Linked DNA regions of Diceros bicornis minor. The protein of the gene in region 2 interacts with the protein of the main gene of each other region in a pairwise test. Links are inferred from orthologs where the notes say so. Each region holds a gene or a part of one and is shown on either strand. Other genes may lie near its edges.

What was found.
Region 1: the proteins of EFHC2 (region 2) and NCDN interact in binary tests that used the Homo sapiens proteins (3 or more experiments, as listed by UniProt). The two-hybrid records come from large-scale screens. The link is inferred for Diceros bicornis minor from reciprocal best matches to the Homo sapiens genes EFHC2 and NCDN.

The regions. Positions count from the first base shown.
Region 1 is NC_080752.1:49,869,323-49,873,066, forward strand, and holds the start of NCDN (neurochondrin), read left to right. Parts: upstream 1-1,094; 5' UTR 1,095-1,287; exon of another isoform or gene 1,288-1,553; 5' UTR 1,554-1,588; coding exon 1,589-1,621; exon of another isoform or gene 1,622-2,371; intron 2,372-2,473; coding exon 2,474-2,644; intron 2,645-3,744. UniProt on the Homo sapiens protein: Probably involved in signal transduction in the nervous system, via increasing cell surface localization of GRM5/mGluR5 and positively regulating its signaling. Required for the spatial learning process.
Region 2 is NC_080781.1:38,621,456-38,625,199, forward strand, and holds the start of EFHC2 (EF-hand domain-containing family member C2), read right to left. Parts: upstream 2,394-3,744; 5' UTR 2,334-2,393; coding exon 2,292-2,333; intron 1-2,291. UniProt on the Homo sapiens protein: Microtubule inner protein (MIP) part of the dynein-decorated doublet microtubules (DMTs) in cilia axoneme, which is required for motile cilia beating.

The DNA of each region.
Region 1 (3,744 bases), on a different chromosome or scaffold from region 2:
AATCACATAAGAAAGCACAGGGAGAGTCAGCTAATGCTCTTCACTGACTGCATCTATTGCCGGTTGGGCACAGCCACCACGAGGTGAGAGACGGCAAAGCTTTCCTGGAAGTCCGCCTGACATTTTCACCTTTGACTTCCTTCATTGCACCTTTGTGCTCACTGCAGTCACCACAGGACCCTCTGTGGGGCATAATTTTCCAAGTCCTGCATCAGGCAGGTCTCGCATCATAATTTACACATCGTGCTCAGCCCCGCCCCCCTTATTCTGCATCAATTTTCTCTTAGTGGGGAGACCAAAGACCAGAGACAGCAGCTAAGGCGGGGCTGCACACATCGAGGGAGGAAGGAAGACAGCAGCGCCCCGAGCCCAGTCTGTCTGTCACGGAATGGAGGAAGTTGCAGGACCAGGCCCGGGCCCGAGAGAAACGGGGTTCAGCCTGGGACTCGAGATCCGCACCTGTAAAGTCAGAAGCAGCTGGCTGTCCTAGCCAGGCCAGGAGCGCCACCTCCGGGTCCCAATACCCGGCCAGCGCACCCCCACAAATAGCCCGTCCCGCTTGCCCCTCCCCGGAGCTCGTGGTCCTCGGCCTGGCAGCCAGCCGCCCCCGGCCACCTACCGGGGCTCAGGGCCACACAGCGGGGCCCCGACTCTCGGCGGCCTCCGCCTCCTCCCGGTCCATGGGGTCGGGGCCCCAACTTTCGCTCCCCTCACCCAGAGGAGGAGTTAGAGGAATAAGGTAGTGCGGACTCCCCACCCGGACAGCTCCCTGTCGCCTCAGCCTCCCTGGACAGCGACGGCGGCCGGAAACGCCGCCTCCTCCCACCTCTTCGGCTCAACCCGGAAACACACTCTTCCTGCTAAGCAAGCCTTCCTAGCCCCCCGGAAGCTCAATTCCAGCCGCGAGCCCGAGGAGGAGGAGGGGCAGCGCTGGGGGGTAGAACTACGCACGAGCGACGGAACTTGGGCCCCCAGGCTGTCGCCTCCCGCTCTCCACAGGCAGTCTGCACCTTCGCCTGCCCTGCGCGAGCCCCAGGCCCCCGACTCAGGCAATACCCACAAAAAAGATGGCGGCAACGGCAGCACCCCCCCACGGTTTAGCGCCCAGCCGCGCCATTGGCCAGAGCCTGGAGTGAAGCCGCTGCGGATTGGTCGAGAGCACTGCGGGGGTGGGGGTGGAGCTGCAGCAGCCTGGAGCCGGGAGTGGGCAACGCGGCGTGAGCAGCGGCCCCAGGCTCCTGGAGCATCGCGCTCGGAGAAGACTTCGCCGTTCGGGGCCGCAGCCTGGTGAGCTCAGCCCCCTTCAGGCCCACCCCTACATCCCAGCCGGGGCTTCTCCGAGCCGGCGCTGATCGATGCGACACACCCCGGGGACCCTATCGCGACTCCATCGCGCCATATCGCGACATCATCGTGCCCTGTCGAGACTCCATTTTGTCACAGCCCTTTTCAATATATAGCTCTGTTTTTTTAATTTGCCTTGTCATCTTTGGGGGCTGTCCCATGTCGTGATTTTGCCGTGATCTCCGTGACATCACCGCGCCATCGTGAAGTGTGAGCTCATCGCCGCCTTGTCGTGACTTCATCAATGTCGTGTTGTGACCTGGCTGCAGCGGGACAGGTGGTGACCGCCAGGATCCCTCCTCCCCTTCTCATCTCCCCATCTCAGCAGCCTCGCTTCGATTATCTGGCTTTTGGAGTCTCCGTTGTCCTGGAAGCTACCCGGGACCCCTTCTTGCTTCTCCAGCCCCTGCCGCCGTCCACAGGCTGGTAGCGGGGCAGGGAGGGCTAAGAGAGGGAGCGCAAGGGGTTAATTCTGCTGCTGCTTCTGCTGCTGCTGCTGCTGCTGCTGCTGCTGCAGCTTCTGCCCGAGGGAGGGAAAGGAGAGGAGGCAAGGAGCCTGCGGGGGCGACTGAGAGCCCTGGCTGGAGGGGTGGGGTCTCCAGAGGGGCTTCCAAACCTTCCCTGGTCAGCGCCCTGCATCCTCAGTTCTGCTGAAGCTGGTCTCCTGCCTCTTCTGAAGAAGAGAGAGGAAAGGAAACCTAGGATGCCCTTTTCCCTCATGTCCTCCTGAGTCCGGATAATCGAACTTCACTCATGTATGTCTCCATTCCTCCCTGTCTGTTCTTACCACTCCCTCCATGTGTGCTTGGTGGAGGGAGATAAAACCCCGCCTCTGGTGCTAGGGGACAGCTGAGCAGTGGGGCCAGCCTCCTCCCACCCCCAGGAGATTGGTGAGGAGAGCTGTCCAGCGGAGCAGCAGGATGCATGGTTCTTCTTTCCCGCTTTCTGGAGGTGACCTTGGACCAGGTCCCTTCTTCATCCCTAAGGATTTGAGGGTCCGGCCCCTTAAAGAGGCTCCCCAAGGGAGGTTAGTCCTGAGGAGCCCATTCCTCTTGATCCTCCCCTCCCTCTGTGCTAATCCCTCCCTCCATCCTCCGCTCCCACCCCCACCCCCACCTCTCCTCTGCAGAGGGATGCTCAGTCCCTCTTGTGTTCACAGTTGGGCAAGGCGGGCATCATGGCCTCGGATTGCGAGCCAGCTCTGAACCAGGCAGAGGGCCGAAACCCCACCCTGGAGCGCTACCTAGGAGCCCTCCGTGAGGCCAAGAATGACAGCGAGCAGTTTGCAGCCCTGCTGCTAGTAAGGAACTGACTGAAAATTGGGAGGTGGGAAGGGCTGGGTGGTTGGGCCCCCTAGGAATGGGGTCAACAAGTCCCCAATGATATATAGGCAACCCTGGAGACACCAAAGAAGGCTTAAGACGCCTACCTTTGGACTCTTTTTTGCTCCTCTGAATATGGAGGCAAAGGGGAGAATGGGGGTGAATAAGGCTTGTGGCCCTAGGAGCCTTGGAGGAGGCTGCCTGGGTCTGCTCTCTGGGGCGTCCCAGAGCAGATGGGAGCTGACTCATAGGGTAACAGCAGCAGGTAGTAACTAGTGCAGAGTACTTGAGGGCTGGGGATGATTGTTCTGGGGGTGGAGAGAGTAGCAAAACTGGAAGTGACCAGGAAGGGGTCCCAGGGGATGGCCAGGATGGCAGTAGGTAGGTTGAGGGTAAGGGATCTGATTTGGGGCTTCACCCTATTGGAGGCACCCCAGCTGGGGACAGCAGAGCAGGAGCTGCAGTGCTGGGAAGGGGGGGTTGGTGTGTGGGGGGTGAAGGGAGGAGGGAGTACAGCCACTGTTTGCCATGGCAACAAGGAGAAGGCTCCAGAGTCAAGGGCTCACACTGCAGCAGAGGAGGTGTTTAGGTGAAATGTAAGGGGAAATGTTTTGACAGGCAGAGCGGCGAGACACAGGAGCCATTTCCCCTGAGAAGGTGGCAGGAATGGATGAGAGACTTCTCTGGAGGGAACAATTAGGGAGGGACCCTAAATCCTTGGAGAATTTTAAACACGGAATTCTAAGCCCCTTCCAACTCAGGTTGTAGGCATTCCAGTGCTGGCTGGGCATTTAGATTAGACATCAGGAGGAACTTCCCAACTCACCGGGTGATGAAGCAGCAGAATGAGTAGTTGAGGAGGACTAGACCTCCTTTCCGCAATTATAATCATAGATGAGGAGTCCCAGAGCTCACACCTGTCTGTCTCTGGGGAGAAGGAAGAAGCAGGATGAAATGACCTCTGGGAGGCTTCCTGAGCCCAGAGTGAGTCCCATTACATAACTTAATCCTGCTAATGGTCAATGCACCAGGGTGCAGGGGATAGTCTTTTCCACCTCTTTCTTTCATCCTACTGACA
Region 2 (3,744 bases):
CAGACAATATCCAAATAACCAATAAATGTATGAAATGTGCTTAACTTCATTAGGAATCAGGGAAGCGCAGATGAAAACTACAGAGTTGCACTACATCCACTGACCAAAGTAACTAAAATCTAAGACTAACAGTATCAAGTGTTAGAAAGAATGTGGAGCAAGAGGAACATCAAATGCTGGTGGGAATTTAAATTGATATAATCACTTTGACAGTGTCTACTAAAGCTGAACATACGAATACCGTATGATCTAGCAATTGTACCAAGAGACATGAACCAGAATAGCCACAGCAAACTATGCTTAATAAACCCAAACCAAATCTGTCAAGAGAAAAATGTGTATATAAATGACGTCACACTCATACAATGGAATACTATAGAGCAATGAAAATGTACAAACTACCTCGACAGACAGCCACATGAACAAATCACAATGTTGAGCTAAAAAAAGCCAGTCACAAAAGAATTAAACACTGGACATTTCCATTGATAAGTTCAAAAGCAAGCAAAATCTAACTATAGTGACAGCAGCCAGGATAGTGGTTACCTTTAGAGAAAAGGGAAGGGGTAATGACCAGAAAGGGTCATAAGAAGGGTTGCCACATAAAATATAAGATGCTCAGTTAAATTTGAATTTCAGATAAAGAACAAGTCATCTTTTAGTATAAGTAGGTCCCAGGGAATATCTAGGATATGTATTTTTATTTGCTAACTCTGGCAACCGTGTTAAGAGAGATGCTTTTGGAATACTGGTAATATTCTATTTCTTGATGTTCATCCTGTGATCATCCATTGTGCATTTTTCTGTACATGTGTTGTACTTCACAATAAAAAAAAGTTAAAAAAAAAAGCAAAAGTACACTCAGTGCAGCCAGCAGATTTTAAAATATCTCATCCAACCACTGTTTTTCCTTCCCACTCTTAATCACTGCATGTGAGAGCTGGGAAACTTCTGCAGGAGGTGGGCATCTGTAATCTGAAGTGACGCTGGGCGAAAGCTGTGGGCTCTACTTTCAATTTTTATTAAACTTACTTTTATACAGCATGCTTCTTTCCTTCTGGAATCTTTTTTCATGCCCTGCCTCTCAGAGGTCTTTCTTATTTGTGTGGCTGGCTTAACCTTACCACAGGGCAGTGCTAGGCTAGAAGGCCAGCCTCTACCCTATCAGCCAAGAAATACACAAACCACTGTTCAAGAAGCAAGTTGGACTAACCAGCCGATCTGTGGGGGTCAGAATCCAGTGGTCTGAAGCCAGGAAGAAACTGGTACTTGGAGGCCGACAACTTGGACATAGACACTGTTCAGACTCCATAAAATCGAACGCTTCAATCTGCTGCCTGTTTTCCAAATTTATCAGAGGTTTACACAAACACCTTGAGTGGCTCCATCTAGTTCCCTCCCACCAGTGGATTACTTACCTTCTTCCTACAGACACAACGGACATTCCAAGTAAAAAGTAGTGACCAGTGCAAACAAAAGCTTGAATCATTTCTCTGCTGTTGTTTAAATAAGGGGCTATTTCCTGGCAAAAGTTCTTTCCTGCTCAGGGTTTTTTGTGTTGTTATGGTGTTTTGTAACTTCATCTTGTTTTGAAATGAACCCCTCCCAATTCTAAATAAAGAAAAGAACTTTAAGTTTGGGTGCTTCTCTCTATAAAGTTTAGGATCCAACTTTATAAGCTGGTGGAACCCTCACCTATCTGCCCCCTACTAGCCTCCAGTGTGCCAGGTTTCTTCACTTTAATAACAGAAACTTCCTCTAATTAAGGATAATAATTAGGTTCCTGGGCTGTGGAGACAAGTTGCCTGGAAGAAACCCAGCTTCACCACTGAGATTGTGTAGCTCTGGCCAATGAGTGACTCATCGCTCTGTGCCTCAGTTTCCTCAACTGTAAAATGGGAATAAAAATACTACCTAAAACAAAGGGCTGTTGGGAGCATCAAACGCCGTGTAAGGCGATGAAAGCACAGCGCCTGGCACACCTCAAACACTCAACGACGGTTGTAATCATCATCACTACCATCGGCTACCTCTGAGGGTCCTGCCACCTCTAAGGACTCTACTTATGTATCTCATGTAGGAAAAGCATCCAGATGCAGTTTGAGAGATACAGGGAAGGGGAGGCCCAGAACAAGGGTCCCACCAGCCTATAAAGTTTGGTCGAAGTTGTGCCCAATTCACCTAGAAGGCGAAGCAGAGGCAGGAGGCCTCCAGTAGGGTCTAGGAGGAGACCACGCCTGGACCCCACACTCCGGCCGGGACTTCTGACCCTGGGCGCCCTCACTACTCACGTTGCGCTTGAAGCTGTGGCCAGGCAGAAACGGCAGGGCCATGGCTCTGAGCGGCCAGGGCTCAAGGGTCCCGGAGGAAAGGGACCGTCAGGCAGCGGCCGCCCCTCGGCCGCGTCGTTTGACCCCCCCCTCGTTACTTAGAGACGAGAGGCGGCGTCACCGAAGGAGGAGGGGCTGCGGCGGGCCGGGGGCTCTGGGCGGGGCCGGGGAGGGGCGGGGCCAGGCGGGAAGCTCCCCGCGCGCACCTCCTCCCCCGCCCACCCCGGCTCAACTCCGCCGGCACGCACAGGTCCCCCGGGGCTTTTCTTTCCACACGCATTGTGCACAGACAAAGACTGGCAACTGCACCATTCCCCGCCCCCGCCGCTTTCTAGTTTAACCCCTTTCTAGAGCTCAAAGGCTTTCCGGTACTTAAAGCTCCTGCGATTCTTGCCACAACAGTTTTTGCCATTTGGTTATTAAATTTAGTTCAAACAGACAGAAAAGCGCAAAAAAGAATATGACACCCGCGTGCTCGTGCTCACAGAAATGTAACGCTAGTTAATGTTACATTTACATCAGCCTTTATTTTGTAATTAAAACGTTCGAGATGAAGCCAAAGCCACACACACCCCATCCGTCTTCGCCCCTCCCCATGAAAACCCATTCAGCGGTAACCACCATCCTCAGTCCTTCCCCTGTACATTTTTATATTTGAAATAAATATTTGTAAAGTGCTCGTTCCTGGCCCAATCAGGGTGGCCAAGGTGTGGTCAGTTGGCACAAAACGCGGCCCCTGTCACCCAAGATGCCAAGGCCAAGAGCCTCCTCGATTCCTCTCCCCCACACCTACAGCTAGTCCCTCCCTGAGTCCTACTGGTTGGACACGCTGGCATCTCTTAGTCACCACCTCCTCTCTCTCAGTTGAGGCCCCATTATTTCTTGCCTGGTTTTCTTTCAAAAAAAAAACCAACAAACAACTAAATGATCTTGCCTCCAGAGCCATCCTATTACAATTCGTGATGCACCTGTTACTCTTCTGCTTCAATATTCTTCTAGCCTTTCCGCCCGCCGCCTTCAGGATGCAAACTCCTTAGCGTGGTCAGAGATTATGTCGGGGGGGCCTGCCAACGCCCTCCATCCCTGTCTTTGCCCCCCGCCTCTACTCCAGCTCTGAAAAACCACTGCCAGTTTCCAAACCAGACTCTACGGTGTCTTCCCTCTGGGATTTTGCAAATGTCGCTCACTATCTGCTAGAAACACCCTTCCTTCCTATCTTTCACCTGGGTAACCCCTTCTGGTCTTTCAGGACTTGGTTCAGTGTAGGAAAGAGGCATGGAAGTCTTTGCCATTTCTGGAAAATGTTCCTTCACCTTCTCCACTCCCCCATCTGTATTAGATGCTCATTCTAATTGTGGCTTTCCCGGTACTGCGTTGTAATCATGCGTTTACTTGACTCTCTTCAGATGCCCCC